Oryzias latipes: one gene and its partners. The protein of the gene in region 4 interacts with the protein of the main gene of each other region in a biochemical or structural test. Links are inferred from orthologs where the notes say so. Each region holds a gene or a part of one and is shown on either strand. Other genes may lie near its edges.

Region 1 (4,310 bases), on a different chromosome or scaffold from region 4:
AGAGGGGCGGAGCGTTGGTGGCAACCCACCTGATTGGTCAAAAAACATAGATCACGTGTCTTGCTATTGCTTCATTGGCTCCCTTAATTGTTCTCGCCCAGCGGTAAAATAAAATGTCCCGCCTTGCGACATTCTCTTCAGTCTTCCTTCTCCTTGTTTCCAAACCGGCAATATTTACACAAAACACAACTATTTCTCACAATACAACGTAAAAAAAACAAAAAAACGTAGTAATTTCTTGATCTTTTATTGTCGTCATATATAAACAATATTTACAAATCGCACAATGGCCATCTGAACAATAAAAGATGTGTGTATTCTTTTATCCCACGTTTAAATGAAAAAAATAAAATAAAAACAGGCATCATTCAACGCTGACATGAATAATAAATAGTCTCAAGTGGAAGTTAGTGTTGCCTGGAATTGCAGCAGCCAGAAATCAAGCAACATTAGCACGAAACAATGTTTTTGTGTTTTGATTTTACACAAAAAAAACTAGTCTTTCAACAAATGGTGTCAATATTAAAAATAGAAGAGAAAACACACATGAGAAAGCCCTATTGCTGAGATAAACATTAGTCACTGACACAAGTCAGCAATATCAATAATCACTGATTAGGCACACATTGTATTCTCAATGGCCTCACATTTATTTTCCCAAACATGTAGTTTCTCCTAAATCTATTCATACAAAGTAGATTTAGGTTTTCCAATGCTAGTCCATGTAGGAGGTGTCCATGCTCTCGCTGTCAGGGTGAAGCAATCGCACTGCTAGTCGTTCAATGTCATCCAGGCTGAGCTGTCGAAGTGAACGTTCATAGTCCTAAAAACAAACAAAAACAAAGTTTAGTAATAACAAAGAGGAGCTTAACTGTCAAGCTCACAACATGACAAATTATTTTAAATAGTTAAAATAGACATTCGTTTTGTAATATAATTTATATAGTGGGTTTGAAAGGCAGTAACAGAACTTTAACCATTACAACTTTTGGGAAACCATGAATAAAAACTTATCTTACCTTTATAAGCTGTTCATGAACTTTTGCTGCATCTGCTGGACTGAAGTGTCTAGCAAGTATAGTGGACACAGTCTGCCACAGTCCTCCCATGTTCCTGCTGCTGCAGCCAGTCACTGCTGAGGCTGCAGATCTTTCTCCTGCAGGACGGATTACTAGGTTCAATTTAGCCTCTGGTCCAATGGAATAATCACTAAGTCTGTGTTCATCTGAAAGAAAAAAGGGCATACAGAAAGATAAATTATGAACCTGACAAAAGTATAAAGGAAAGAAAAAAAAGTAGTAGGCAAATTTTACCTGCCAGTGCCTTTCCTTTGTAAAGCAGCCGCTGCTGGTTTGCTGGTATGTTGAGTTGCTCAGAAACAAGTTCCTTCACTGTGGAAACCTTTTCATCTTCTGTCACCTGTGGGATAAAAACAAATTCTTAAACTGTAATTTAAACAAGAACAATAGAGTCAACTGGTATAGAAAGACTGCGGGGAAAACAAGTTCTAAGGATGCAATAATAAAAAAAATGAATACATAAAAACAGTATTAAACGGGCAAAATAAATAATTCATTTTATGTAATAAAGTAACAAAGTACCTATTGTGAAAACGTTTTATCAGCTCAAGACAAAAACATTTGTTACAATAATTCAAAACAATTACAAATATATTGTTTATTCAAAGCCTTCGTATTTTTTTCGAAATGTGCCGAAAACTCACTGTCTTGTCTGGGATAAAATTCTCGGCTTAAAATCTAATTCAATAGATGTCTTAAATGGCTTTGTATGACCAATTTTAAGTGCACATGTTTGACTTAATCTGAAGAACAGCCATATATAATGTATAATGTGTAATTACCGCTACACTTTAAAGTTGGCATTAAAGAAAAAAAACATGATCATAAGTACTACGGTACTCAAAATAAGAACAACACAAAACCAAAAAAATGTTTTGGTTAAAAAAAATTATAAATAGAATATATAACTACATAATTAAAAAAGTTAATGAAGTGCTGTGGAGTTTTAAAATGATTACTTTATGTAAATGAAAAATATATACAATTCTAAATTTGTGATAAGAGAAGCAGGTTCATAATGCTGCTTTCATGCAACTGTATGTCTTAACTGATTTGACACAAAGGCACATCCAGGAGCAGCAAATATAACTGCTGAACTGTAAAATAATACCAACACCGTTTTTTGTTTCAACGCGCTGACCAAACAAAGTCCTCTAATACACCGCGGTTCCTTACTCACTTCTCTTTACTGCATTAGCACCAAGTAAGGAGTAACAACAACTTCCACTCAGCTGCTGGGCGTGACCTCAGCGAGAATGATTCAGACAGAAAGAGTTCTTCGTCTTGCATTTCTAAATTAGCTAACATGCTAGCTGCGGTAAAGCTGCTTTAGAACTATAAACGGGTGTGTATATGTACAACCGCATCTTTAGTACTGGTTAGTGTTAGAGTTACAGTCACTAATAAATTAAATTTATGTTCACTTTATTCAAAGCACTTTAAAAAACTTATGATGCTGAGCGGCTAACAGATATACCCGGCTAGCTGATTGTGCAAATTAGCATTATGGAGTTCGATTTTTTAACTAACCTGAACACTGCACTCCTTCCCTTGAAGTGGCTTTACTGTAAGAATCATTTTTCAACACTCTCACTAAAAACAAAAACACACAATAATGTGATTAAAGTCCAGCCAAAAGGGTTACTAAGTTTGCTCGTTATAGCCACACTGGCTGTGGTCCCGTCAGCGTCCCATCTTCTTCTCCTGTTTCCTCTCAACGATGCCACTGCCTCTGTTGCTGACATCAAGTAATGCTGCTGCCGCCTACTGGCATGAAGGATGTACCGCAGCTAAGAAGAAATGACACCACGATTAAAGTTCAATTAAAAGTTTATCGGAACTAAAGTGGTTAGGCGATGATATCCAAATTGATCTCCTAAGCAGGATACTGTGCCAATACACCTGTACACACATGGGTGTTTTTTTTCCTTTGACAGACAAAAAACATGGTGATAAACTTTTGTCATTACATTACATTTGAATAGTAACGTGTTTGTCAATTTGAAAAGAAAATTGGATCCGACTCACCTGTAGATTACTGTTACAATTTACCCATAATTACCTGACCACCTTCTATTGCTTATGTTCAATACACAAAAAGATTTTCACAAAAAATGCGTTTACAGCATTGACATTTTTTTAATGTCCAAAGTCGGGCAGATGCTCGTTCTTTTTTCTTTCCGAAAGCAAAATTTAGTGTCAAATTTTCCCATTAGAACTACTTTCCTCTGACCCAGTTCGGATCCAGCCTGTGCATGTGTCATTCTGTTCCCCCTCCTCGTGGTTGGAGGGAGCCCGCGTCACGTGACCGCCTGTCTGCGCTGTGGGCATTCCTCCTGACCAGCATCCTTCACTTGAGGACGCCAGGCGGACTGCTCACCTACACCGGTGAGTAGCATTTGTGTACCATCCATCAATTAGGTGTTGAAAAAACAATGGATCTGTGGCTGAGTGTAATTAAATTTAAGATGATAAAGACAATTTATCTTTGTTATTGTTTTTTTCTCTTTTGACAATTTTTATATAGCCTACATAAAACCTTGCAGCTTCACATAAAACGTACATAATAAAAAAAAGTATAATTTGTTTACTCTGAAAATGTATTCTTTTTAGTGGGATAAACTTATGATGCACTTGACAATGAATTGTTTTTGCCTTTAACCTGGATGGAAATGTGTGCTACAATTGCAAGGCAGCATTTTGACATAGATAGATATGCATAATATTTTTCATATTTAAGTTTGTGAAATAAAAAATTACAATTTCTTTTTTATTCTCATAGCAACGAGCTGTTTATCTTTGTGCTTTCCTGGCTGATGCCTGCAGATCATGGGTACACTGAGGGACCTCCAGTTTGCTCTGCAACTAAAAATCGAGGAGCTCCGCCAGAGAGACACACTCATAGATGAGTTGGAGCTTGAACTGGATACAAAGGATGAACTCATTCGAAGGCTACAGGAAGAACTGGACCGTTACAGGACCACTGTTTGCCTCTCAGGACCCTCACCCAGTGCAGGTAAAGAGTAGGTCAATCATTTAAAAGTACAGGTTGTAGACGTGACCTAAAAATCTCAATTATTTTTTATAGCTCCTCAAATTGAGGGCATGGAGCGAGCTAAAAAGCACACAGTCATTTCAGAACCCTTCAGCCCGGACCCCGTGACTCTCGCCAGGATTTCACACAAAAGCTGTGACAAAAGTCAACAGTAAGAGCACACTGTGTTCCTCCAA
Region 2 (4,311 bases), on a different chromosome or scaffold from region 4:
GAGACCATCTGCTGAACAGACATCTAGGAGACACAAGAATCACACAGCTTTAATGTACAGTTAGTGTCTTTATTATATAAGTATTATATACTTTATCATATCATTGAGTAATTTTCGGCTTAAACCACAGTCTTCAAGCAATCACAAAGTGGACTAAGAGTCATAATTGCAATTGTTATTATTTATTATTTTACTTTCTCCCTCTTTGAGACCTAATTAGACCCCTAATATGCATGAAAATCCGCAAAACTGATTCAAAAATTTGTCATAAAAAGTAAACGATTTGTTCTCTTCCAACAAAAAAAACTAAGTAAAATTGGGCCAGTAAAACCTTTTTTTTATATATATATATCCCCTAAGAAAGAGCCATCCAGTAAAAATCATTAAATTTCTTTATGCTCCATCTTCACTGATGTCATGGACCATGGAATGTAGAGGAGCGGGTGGGGTTTTACTGTGGCACCATTTTCAGATGGGGCTGCAGAGTTAGAGGATGAGCATCACGCCTTAATCCTGTTCTGTTGCAGCACAGGCCGAGGAGAAGCTGCTGGGGGCAGCAGACAGACCTGGGGGGCTGTTGATGGGCCCATGGTGCAGGGTGGCAATGGTCATTCAACAGTCGTTGCAGCTTTAAATGTATTTGTTTTTAGGATAATTTAGCAAACCCATCAAGATGACATGAACAGAGTTCATATGCCGGAGTCTCTAAAGTCCATCTTTGTCCATTTTCCCTTTAACATCTCCACACAATATGATCGGACATAGTGGAAAATGCTGAGATGAAAACAATGCAGAGATCACACAGAACAATTCACTTGTGCTCTGCGTGATAAACCGACTACATCTAGATGGTTTTAAAATCTGAAATCAATCCCTGTGGTTTTATTTTCACTTTGAACGAACCCATCTGACTTTCATGTCATTTTGATCCAGAAGACTTGGTCCTTTTAAGAAAAATTTCCTGCAGGTTTGTGATCAAAGGTTGTTAACAAAAGCAGACAGCCTCATGGCAGATTGAAGGCAGCCGTTTAGAAAAGTAATGTTTCAACTTGACTGAACTCAGATCTTCATGCCGAAACACAGAGTTTAGTTGCCCTGAGCAACTGGAATCTCGTCATCTGTTGAGCAGTGCTGCCTTCATCCCTGACAACGCACACCAACAATGCAGACCTACCTGTATCTGCTGGGGGTCCATGATATTGACGGGGAGGTTGAAGGTTCCAAGCATGACATAGCTGTTGGCATTGCGATCGTGTGGAGGCACCTGCGATGCTCCCTGGGAGGATGAAGACTGCCCGCTGTCGGCTGCGGTGGCCCCTGACCCCGAGCCAGGCTGGGAGGGTGGAGGGGGGGCCCGCTCCACAAGGTGAATCACCTTTCCAGCCACATCTACAAGAGTAGCGGAGAATATGGTCAGCTAAAACAGAAGCAGTGGCAAATCAGCAGAAAGAGCAGATGGAACCAAAAACTAATTCAATGACAGAATTTTTACTTAAAAGAAATAGTTTTGAAATGCTCCTTGGTGGTGTGATTGAAAGGAGGCAGAAGGGATGTTCAGATGGAGAGACTCCCTGAAGCAACAAGCTGAAAGGTTAAGAGGAGGAAGATTTAATATATCCTTTGACTAACTGTAGTCTGCCAGCGTCCTTTCATCCTGCAGTACTCTGCCCTGGTAGATGAGCCTCTGTTTGTCCACAGGGATGCCCACTGAAGGAGAAATGTGCTCTTTGAACTCTTTAACTGTCAGCTGCAAAACAATGGATCATTTCAGTCAGATCATAAAAGACAAAAGGAAACTACCCAAATATTTACAGCAGGAACTTTCCATTTACCTGAGCACCGACTGAGTAGGTTCTGCTCTGAGAGTCCAGAGTTTTGACCGTCACTTCTATGTCTGAGGTTTGTTCATCCATAGCGTTCCTGCAATTGTATTACATCTTCAATTACAAATTATTCTGTTTATGTGACTTTTTAAAGTGTTTGTACACTTTTACAAAAATTTTGATAAGCACCAGGTTATTTAACAATCTGTTCAACAAGCATGGTGCGTCCACGGCATGTTTATAAGTTTATGAAGAACAGTGAGCGTAGTTTCCAATTTTTCAGCAATCATCTAGATCACCTCTTCTTTTTAACAAACAGGCAACGTTGAAGTGAATTTATTAACCAGCCTTTAGTCTAGAAAATAAAATCTCTAACTAAGGAATCCGGATAACTACAATCAGCTGAATTATTTAGCTCTAATTTAAAATACATTATTAACTGAGCTATTTCCTAAACAAGAATTTTAATAAACATACAATTAACGTAAAATAGCATCTATATCTTTATGTTAGACTCAGTGGGTTAAATTTGATTTAATGCTTTGTTTTTTTCCCAAAGACGGACTCCCTGTACTAGCGTTAGCCAAAAACAGTTAGCCCGGCTGTATTCGCTAAACAAGGACAGGAGCGATGTAATATTAAACTAAGATTTAGGACAGACAGTATAACAAAAGATAGAAAGTAACATATCGCCACTTGCTCTTCAGCAGGATTACTTTTTTTAGGAACCAAATAAACGCCGACTGGCTAATTAGCCAAACAGATTAGCTAAAGATGCTAACTGATCTGTCGTGTCGCTACTAATGCTTAAGCGCAGAACATTCCGTTTTTTATGCGTCACACCGTCAAACGCTTACCTTTTAAATCATACAATGTTTTTTAACGTATCCAGAGTCCACAGGAGGCTCTTATATTCAGAAAGCCGAGCACTTCTCCGGTGCGTCGCGGCTATGCTACAGCTAACAGCTTTTAGGGCTGAACGGATGTGACGTCAGAAAGCCGCCGGACTGCTGTCGAGGTCAAAGAAGCAAAGATGGCGAATGTGCTAGAGGCGACGAGCCGACAACAGTTCGAGGATTTCCTTGCAAAAGCTGGAAAAAACCTCGCGGTTGTACATTTCCAGGCGGCATGGGCTCCTCAGTGCGGCGACATGAACGAAGTGATGGCCGAGCTGGCCAAGGCACACGCGCACGCGACGTTTGTGAAGCTGGAGGCGGAGGCTGTTCCCGATGTGTCGGAAAAGTATGACATATCCTCCGTCCCCACTTTTATCTTCTTCAAGGGGGGTGAGAAGGTGGATCGTCTGGACGGGGCGCACGCTGCGGAGCTGACTAAGAAGGTCCAGGGCCTGGCGGGTAGCGGGCCCGCCCCAGGAGGAGCCGCGGACGGCGGCGCCGCGGACTTGAACCAGCGGCTGAAGAAGCTGATCAACGCGGCGCCCTGCGTGCTGTTCATGAAGGGCTCCCCGCAGGAGCCCCGCTGCGGCTTCAGCCGCCAGATGGTGGCGCTGCTCAAGGAGCACAGCGTCCAGTTCAGCACCTTTGACATCCTGTCAGACGAAGAGGTCCGTCAGGGCCTGAAGGCGTACTCCAACTGGCCCACCTACCCCCAGCTGTACGTGAACGGAGAGCTGCTGGGGGGGCTGGACATCGTGAAGGAGCTGGCCGAGTCCGGGGAGCTGGAGACCACCTGCCCAAAGGCCGTGACCCTGGAGCACCGCCTGAAGGCCATCATCAACCAGAGCCCCGTCATGCTGTTCATGAAGGGCAACAAGGAGGCGGCGCGCTGTGGCTTCAGCAGGCAGATCCTGGAGGTCCTGAACTCCACGGGGGTGGACTTTGACACCTTTGACATCCTGTCGGACGAAGAGGTCCGTCAGGGCCTGAAGGCGTACTCCAACTGGCCCACCTATCCCCAGCTCTACGTGAAAGGGGAGCTGATCGGGGGCCTGGACATAGTGAAGGAGCTGAAGGAGAGTGGGGAGCTGGAGTCGGTACTGAGGGGGGAGTCGTAGATGGACGGGGAACAGGACATCACTGCACAGGCCTGCACCAGCTGCTGCACCCCTCAGAGGTCCCAGGAGGTCAAAGAAGCTGCTCGTCGGCTTTGATCGTGGGAAACGTTCTTCTTTTTTCACAGACTTTCAGATGACGTGAAGCTGCTGACTCTCCATCCTCATCTTTATGACAAGAACACCACCAGAGAAGCTGAAAATCTACTCATGTTCACTGCAAATTCCAGCCTATAATAAATTTCCCATCAAAATAGAACAAAACGTTTCTATTTGTTTTATTTTTTGCCTGTAAAGAGGTGAACTGGCTGTAGTAAACTGAGTTTACTTTGAAATGAGAAAAAAGTTTGAACAGAGCTCATGCACTAAAGCTCACACTCAATAAAATTGTTAAAAGCAGCAGCATGTCACGTTTGTAATACATGTGGTATAGTAAGCACGTGTGACAGGTTTTCTGGCGCCACCTTGTGGGCGTAA
Region 3 (4,028 bases), on a different chromosome or scaffold from region 4:
GATATACTGGACAAAAAGATTGAAAAGGTATGCTCTTGGAAAATGGGTTTACCTCATAAATTTTGATCAATCACCAGAATTTCATCATTAAAAACTTTGTTTCTCCTTCCACAGGTCACAGTTTCCAACCGCCTGGTCTCCTCCCCATGCTGCATCGTCACCAGCACCTATGGCTGGACGGCTAACATGGAGAGGATCATGAAATCCCAGGCCCTAAGGGACAACTCCACCATGGGATACATGACAGCCAAGAAGCATCTGGAGATCAACCCACTCCATCCAATCGTCGAGACACTACGGGAGAAGGCTGAAGTGGACAAGAATGATAAAGCAGTGAAGGATCTGGTTATCCTGCTGTTTGAGACCGCCCTGCTGTCTTCAGGATTCACCCTGGAGGACCCTCAAACACATGCTAACCGCATCTACAGGATGATCAAACTGGGTCTTGGTATGTTTTACTTCCTATATACCTGCAAACACAATTACAATTCCCACAGTTCAGATTGGTTGGTTGCTAAAGAATGCTGTCTGGTTTTTGTAGGAATTGATGATGACGACTCTGCAGTTGAAGACATCATTCAGCCGACTGATGAAGATATGCCAGTATTGGAGGGAGATGATGACACATCAAGAATGGAAGAAGTTGACTAAATGTTTTTTTCAGGCCTTTCAAAGGTTTTTTATTTTATTTTTGTAACATGTGTTGTATTGCCTGGACAAAACAAATACAGACATTAATTGACTTTTGCCAAAATGGAAACACTGTATATAGAAACATTTAAAAACTCAATTCGCTATATAAAAAGTTTCTCAGCTTTCACTTGTGTTTCTTTTGTAACTTTTACATTTTGTATGTAAAACTTTAAAATTTTTAATAAAATATAATGGTTAGAGCCTTTTGTCTTTTTTAACCTAATGCATGCTAAACTTTAAAATATTCAAAGCCAAAAATGTCAAATACCAATTCTGCAAATGTGAAGCACATTTTAATTAAGAAAGTTCGTAACTTGAAAAGGTTTTTCTTTCTAGTTCTGGAATTTTCAATGCACACAGCGTGGTTCTTTCTAGATCCCACTCCTACACGTGTTCCTCGCTTGGTATAGTCTCTCCACATTCTCCACCTACCAACACCAAATATGGTGAAATGGGCGGGGACCGGGCGTTGACAGACGTGTAGCTCAGCCTATCAGCGAGCACCACCAAGCCGCAGCCGGGAGGATTCCAGACGCTTCTGGAAGCCCCCGTCAGGGTTTTTTCTCGAAGCCTCTGAAAGAGTACAAATAGCGGAGAGACGAACGGCGGGACAGATTTTGAAGCAGTGGAGCGACGAAAGCGAGAAACAGCGATCAATAGCGGAGCATTCCACTCCCACGGAGGACCAAGGTAAATGATGCACTCACAATGAGCTGCAGGACTCGTCGTGATTAGAGACTAAAATAAGGTTCTTAAATCTGTTAACTTTGCACACTTCGTTGATTATTAGGGTGAATTACTTTTTAAGCATTTAGCCACAAACTATTTACTCAAATGTTTAATTTTTCTCTAAGGGTTAATAAAGGAACCACTTTTTTTGTCCAGTCGAGTGGTAATGATGAGATGCTGCTGCCCTGCATGTGTCAGCAGTATAACATTATGCGCTTACGGGTTATTTAATTGTTGTTGTTATAGTTTTAAGCCGTTGTTTTAGCCGGGCGAGCTGGTCCCGGTATTTTATTTTATTTTTTTGTGCGGACATCTCATTCATACGAACTCTGAAAACGGTTGATGAGAGCAGCGACTTTCTGCTCCTCGTGAAGCTGCGCGTGCTCTGCTCTCCTCCTGGTACCTTCTAGAAACTCGCCTTACGCTGGGTAACCAGCAGAGGGCGACACTGCTGCGCAAATGGAAGAGATGGAGAAAAAGGCCATTGGAGACTTGTTCAAAAGATTTTTCAAATTTAATTAAATATTTAAAATGTAAACAATTTTTTTTATATTTTTGAGATTTTTAGTTTCGGACTTGGTGAACTGAAAACCAATTTTAAAGGAGGATTATAAAAGGGGATTGTATATCTGAATTTTAAGGATTAGAATTATTATTTTTTTTTTCAAAATAATAGACTCTACTTTACCAGATTACTCATTTTTTGTGTCCCTCATTCTATTAAACCCACTATCTTGACTATAAAGCTGTTTGTGTTTGGAACAATAACTAAAGGTTAATTTTTAGTTAACTTAAGCTAAAGGATATATTTTCTTGTTACTCAGATGCCTGAGATGCATGACCAACCAATGGAGGAGGAGACTGAGACCTTCGCATTCCAGGCTGAGATCGCTCAGCTTATGTCCTTGATCATCAACACCTTCTATTCCAACAAGGAGATCTTCCTCAGAGAGCTTATCTCTAACTCCTCAGATGTAAGTTTACACAAGCCTAAGATTTTTTTCTATATTTCATCTGCACTGAATCTAATGCTAATTTATTAAATTCACTGATTATTCTTGGACAGTTTCTTCTTAGGCAGTGCTCATTGGGCTTTGTCTCTTTTTGATTGAATTTTTTTTTTTTTTTTTATCTGCTTTTTATTTTTATGAATTTAAATTCCATTTAAATCCCATAGAATTGCATTTTGGCTGCAGTTGTACTAAATGAAAAGTGAGCAGGTCGTCTAAAAGGAAGTTCATGGATCCGTTGTTCCGACAGGCTTTGGACAAAATCCGTTACGAGAGCCTGACTGACCCCGCCAAGCTCGACTCGGGAAAGGAACTCAAAATCGAAATCACGCCAAACAAACAGGAGCGGACGCTGACCTTGATGGACACGGGAATCGGAATGACCAAAGCGGACCTGATCAACAACCTGGGAACCATCGCCAAATCTGGAACTAAAGCATTTATGGAGGCTTTACAAGCCGGAGCCGACATCTCCATGATCGGGCAGTTCGGCGTGGGCTTCTACTCTGCATATTTGGTGGCTGAGAAGGTGACGGTCATCACCAAACACAACGACGACGAGCAGTACGCTTGGGAATCCTCTGCTGGAGGCTCCTTCACAGTGAAACTGGACAATTGTAAGTAATGTGAGGCTTTTGAATGTCAGCTTCTGGTGTTTGTGGTTCTCGTGTGCTGACTGACTCTTGGTTTCAATGTCTAGCTGAGCCTTTGGGCCGAGGAACCAAAGTGATCCTCCACCTGAAAGAAGATCAGTCAGAATACCTGGAGGAGAGGAGGATCAAGGAGATTGTGAAGAAACACTCTCAGTTTATCGGCTACCCCATCACACTCTTTGTACGTATCAGAACCCTGTATTTTACTTCGAGGGGATGTATTCTGATCCGAGTGAGCTGAAACTGTTCCTTCTGTGGTTGCAGGTGGAGAAGGAGCGGGACAAGGAGGTGAGTGACGACGAGGCTGAGGAAGAGGAGAAGGAGAAAGACAAGGAGAAGAACGAGGAAGAGAAGGATGAGGACAAACCTGAGATTGAGGATGTGGGGTCAGATGAAGAGGATGACCATGACAAGTCCTCAGACAAAAAGAAAAAAAAGAAGAAGATCAAGGAGAAGTACATCGACCAGGAGGAGCTGAACAAAACGAAACCACTGTGGACCCGCAACCCAGACGACATCACCAACGAGGAGTACGGGGAGTTCTACAAGAGTCTCACCAACGACTGGGAGGATCACCTGGCTGTCAAGGTTGGTGATTCAGATGGAAGTTGAGGGGAAATCTGGTCTCAAGGGAAACATTTTCTGAACCCCCCCTTTCCTTCCTCTGTAGCATTTTTCAGTGGAAGGGCAGCTGGAGTTCCGTGCCCTCCTCTTCGTGCCCCGCCGTGCCCCCTTTGACCTGTTTGAGAACAAAAAGAAGAAGAACAACATCAAGCTTTACGTGCGTAGAGTCTTCATCATGGACAACTGTGATGAGCTCATCCCTGAGTATCTCAGTAAGTGTCCGGACCTGCTGGATTCTATTCTAATCTGAGGTGAGCGGGGAGCAAAATGACTAAACTGAATTCTACTTTTCATTTGTCAGATTTCATCAGGGGTGTGG
Region 4 (3,511 bases):
TTAAGCTTTATTGTGTGAAGTGAGTTGTAATGCAGAGAAGGCTTTTGGTCTGTGGACCGGCCTCCTCCAGCCTCGGCTGTGATTCTTCTGCTTGATCTTTTTACCCAGCATCCTCTGGGCTGTGATGGTTACTCTGCTAAGGTTTTCTGTGGCGTTTTGAACTAAAGTGTCTTTGGTTTGATCAGAGTTCAATGTCTCTGTGTGAGCTGCCTTCTCATGGCTTTGGGTCCCTCTGCAGTTGCCGTTCAGTGTTTGGAGACGGCGTTTGACGTTTCCACGGATGACCAGAGCCTCGCCGTGCCCGTGACGTTACCAGAGATCTTCGCCAGCGCCACGGCACAGGTACTCGGTCTTTATTGCTGACACTTCATACTGGACTTTGGTTCATATCCAGAACTTGTTTTTAAGTCAGGGCACATATTTCATATGGTGCTTTCTATGTGTAATTGCTCCTGTTGCTTTTCTGTGACCAGAAAGTTATTTCTATTAAATCCCAGAATTAAAAAACCAAATAAATAAAAGTTGACTATTTATCCCACAATGGGGACGTTTGTTCTCCACATTTGACCCATCCCCTGTGGGGGCGGTGAGTAGCAGACACAGGGGATGGGTCAAATGGTGGTTTAACTCCCCAATCCAACCCCTTAATGCTGAGTGTCACGCAGGGAGGCATTGGTGAGCCTGGGTTTGAACTCATGAACGTTCAGTTACAGGGCTGACACTCTAACCACAAGGCCACTGAGCTGGTCCAAGGGCCCTCACTGGGTGATGTTAATTGCTCACAATTAACATTTGCCCCATTAACATTGCTTGACATAATTGTTCATTCCCCCCCCCCCAGGAATCGAACTGGTTTCCTGCATGCCAGTTGTTCACCTTACCAACCGAGCTACCCAGCCAAATAAGATGCCCAGTTTCTAAAAGTCCCACTCTGGTTATCTTTATTTATCTCTATTTGGTTTTAACCCAAATCAGAAAAACCTGTCGTTTTCTAGGACATAGTTTCTGCAGAGCAGCAGGACTTAAGCTGTGGGTTGGTCCGTTGCTGCAGAGAGAGTGGCGCTTTGTTTACACTCTCTCCCACTAGCTTACAGCCCCTCACTCCCCCAACTTAACAGTAGCGGTGCAACATAAATGGCGAGCAATATTGGAGCTATCCAGCTTTTGATCCAGACTCCAGCTTAGACGAGGAAAACAAAGACGGACGTGGATCCATTTGTCTCTAAGTGGAGCGGCGCAGGGAGCTTGTGGCCCGCTCAGAGTATTATCTACACCACAAAACATCTCTTTTTCAAATGGCTTTTTTTTATTTGTCTGCTCCTGATTCACAAGGATTTGAATAGGAAATGCAATTTGAAGCCTAATTTTCTTGATTATCCTCAGAAACATGCTACACGAACATTTTGAAATCACCAAAAACATTTTTATTTTTTTTATCAGTGTGGGTCTTTGAAGGCAAACCACACATTTCTGTCCCGAGCTTCTGCATTAAAGAATGAGTTGTTTTCTATAGTCTCTGCTATTTGTTTCCGCTGAGACTTTCAGATGATCAGCTTTTGGTGTGAATACCAGCCGGTAGCAGTTTATTGCTGATCCCTAATCTAAAAATGTTCTTTCTGTCCTCATTCTTGCGTGTATCCTGGATATTAATAATTTGTTCCGTAACCTTCTTGAACACTCCCAGTTCTGAGCCCAAAGGATCTTTGTTGGTGACTGAGCGTCGGAATCACTGCTGTGCTTCAGAAAGTTTGGACTGCTGAAATCTCCACAGTGACATGTTGTCTGACGGGACGTGGTGTCTGCTTCCTCTGACAGTTTCCGGCTCAGTCCCAGGTAAACAACAATTCCAGGACCAGCTCCCCGACGGAGGAGCAGAGGGCGGAGGCCGAGCGGCTGAAAAGTGACGGTGAGTTTAGAGATCCTCCCGTCATTTGGGCTCAGACTGCATAGATGTGAACAGCTGATCAGCTGATCAGCTGCAGCCCAGTCAACCTTCAGAAACCTCAGTGTTTTAGCTCAAGTTCCTGAACTACAGCCAACAAAGAAGGAGCACAAAAAGATTGAAAAATGCACAAACATACATTTAAAAGCTGGACTCAGGCATCCATAGAACAGAATAAACTAAGAAAAAAAAAAGAATTCAACCACTTAACAGATGATCAGACCAGCAAACACAGTACTGTCTAAACGTTTCACATGGACGGACAGATTTAGTGAGATGAACAGGACTTTTAAGTATCAATATTTAATGTAAATATTATCTTGATCAGGCTGCACCTTCCCTTACAGCAAGAAGGTCCCTGGTTCAAGTCCCGGCTGGGGGACCAGAGACAGAACATCCATGAGGGGCCTTTCTGTGTAGAGTTTGCATGTTCTCCCTGTGGATGCGTGGGTTTTCTCCGGGGACTGCGGCTTCCTCCCAACGTCCAGAAACGTGCTTCATAGGTTCATTGGTTACTCTAGATCAGGGGTGGGCAATTCCAGGCCTCGAGGGCCGGTGTGTCTGCATGATTTCCAGATAGTCTTGCCCTACTCATGGCTGATTACATGGTTCAGGTGTGTCCAGCCAAAGCAGGGTATGCTGGAAAACATGCAGGAATGCGGCCCTCAGTGCCCACCTCTGCTCTAGATTGTCCTTGGGTGTGAATGTGAGAGTGCATGTGTGTGTGATTGTGGCCCTGCAACAAATGTTGACCTGTTCAGGGTGCCCCCTGCTTTCGCCCGCAAGGGGCCGGGATAGGCTCCAGCAGCCCGTGACCCCGAAAGGGACAAAACCGAATAGAAAATGAATGAACAATCATTTTAATGTCTTTATATAGAAAATGGTTTCATGAATTGCTTGTTCTTGTAAAAGTTTCCGATCATGGTTTGAGACCCGCGTCTTTCTGCTCTGACATTAAAGCGAAGTTCAGAAACCGTCCACCTGATTGTCTCAGGAAGATCAGCAGAATCCCGTCTGCTCATTTCCATCCTTTTCTGCTGCTTCTAACACGAATGGTGAGCTCATCCCAATGCAGGACTGCTCCAGACGTCATAACGTTCAATCTCCTGCAGGAAATGACCAAATGAAGGTGGAGAACTTTGCCGCCGCCGTGGAGTTTTACTCGAAGGCCATCGCCCTGAACCCCCAGAACGCCGTCTACTACTGCAACAGGTGAGTGAGGCCGGATCCCCACCAACACTAGAATGAAAGAAGTTCACTAGGCTCACGAAGAACCCCGTCCAGACCTGAAGGAGGTTGTTTCTCCCTGCAGGGCGGCAGCGTTCAGCAAACTGGGGAACTATGCCGGCGCCGTGCAGGACTGTGAGCAGGCCATCGGCATCGACCCCAACTACAGCAAAGCTTATGGGCGGATGGGGTGAGACTGCAGACCCATCAATATTTTAGTCAACTACAGTGTTCCCTCGCTGTATGGCGGTTCACCAGCGGTTTCTCCGATTCTTTTCAGAGCAAGTTAACATGTTTGTTTTTAAACAGTGCTAGGATTGTCAATCAATCTTCTGTACCGAG

The links.
Region 1: the proteins of sgta (region 4) and ubl4a form a complex in vitro, tested with the Homo sapiens proteins (3 studies listed by BioGRID, with this or other methods). The link is inferred for Oryzias latipes from reciprocal best matches to the Homo sapiens genes SGTA and UBL4A.
Region 2: the proteins of sgta (region 4) and bag6 form a complex in vitro, tested with the Homo sapiens proteins (4 studies listed by BioGRID, with this or other methods). The link is inferred for Oryzias latipes from reciprocal best matches to the Homo sapiens genes SGTA and BAG6.
Region 3: the proteins of sgta (region 4) and heat shock protein HSP 90-alpha form a complex in vitro, tested with the Homo sapiens proteins (2 studies listed by BioGRID, with this or other methods). The link is inferred for Oryzias latipes from reciprocal best matches to the Homo sapiens genes SGTA and HSP90AA1.

What each region holds. Positions count from the first base shown.
Region 1 is NC_019867.2:16,994,923-16,999,232, reverse strand, and holds ubl4a (ubiquitin-like protein 4A), read right to left. Parts: upstream 2,806-4,310; 5' UTR 2,658-2,805; coding exon 2,610-2,657; intron 1,420-2,609; coding exon 1,314-1,419; intron 1,226-1,313; coding exon 1,020-1,225; intron 824-1,019; coding exon 716-823; 3' UTR 232-715; downstream 1-231. Other genes in the region: cGMP-dependent protein kinase 1-like, read left to right, coding at 3,909-4,095, 4,168-4,285. UniProt on the Homo sapiens protein: As part of a cytosolic protein quality control complex, the BAG6/BAT3 complex, maintains misfolded and hydrophobic patches-containing proteins in a soluble state and participates in their proper delivery to the endoplasmic reticulum or alternatively can promote their sorting to the proteasome where they undergo degradation.
Region 2 is NC_019874.2:28,119,824-28,124,134, reverse strand, and holds the start of bag6 (large proline-rich protein BAG6), read right to left. Parts: upstream 2,806-4,311; 5' UTR 2,681-2,805; intron 1,923-2,680; exon of another isoform or gene 1,921-1,922; 5' UTR 1,914-1,920; coding exon 1,833-1,913; intron 1,748-1,832; coding exon 1,630-1,747; intron 1,390-1,629; coding exon 1,175-1,389; intron 24-1,174; coding exon 1-23. Other genes in the region: glrx3 (glutaredoxin-3), read left to right, coding at 2,857-3,837. UniProt on the Homo sapiens protein: ATP-independent molecular chaperone preventing the aggregation of misfolded and hydrophobic patches-containing proteins.
Region 3 is NC_019882.2:17,294,737-17,298,764, forward strand, and holds the start of heat shock protein HSP 90-alpha, read left to right. Parts: upstream 1-1,223; 5' UTR 1,224-1,383; intron 1,384-2,246; coding exon 2,247-2,396; intron 2,397-2,682; coding exon 2,683-3,049; intron 3,050-3,132; coding exon 3,133-3,266; intron 3,267-3,349; coding exon 3,350-3,673; intron 3,674-3,755; coding exon 3,756-3,921; intron 3,922-4,010; coding exon 4,011-4,028. Other genes in the region: heat shock protein HSP 90-alpha 1, read left to right, coding at 1-27, 115-448, 542-651. UniProt on the Homo sapiens protein: Molecular chaperone that promotes the maturation, structural maintenance and proper regulation of specific target proteins involved for instance in cell cycle control and signal transduction.
Region 4 is NC_019862.2:5,204,953-5,208,463, forward strand, and holds part of sgta (small glutamine-rich tetratricopeptide repeat-containing protein alpha), read left to right. Parts: intron 1-238; coding exon 239-342; intron 343-1,815; coding exon 1,816-1,906; intron 1,907-3,054; coding exon 3,055-3,154; intron 3,155-3,254; coding exon 3,255-3,359; intron 3,360-3,511. UniProt on the Homo sapiens protein: Co-chaperone that binds misfolded and hydrophobic patches-containing client proteins in the cytosol. Mediates their targeting to the endoplasmic reticulum but also regulates their sorting to the proteasome when targeting fails.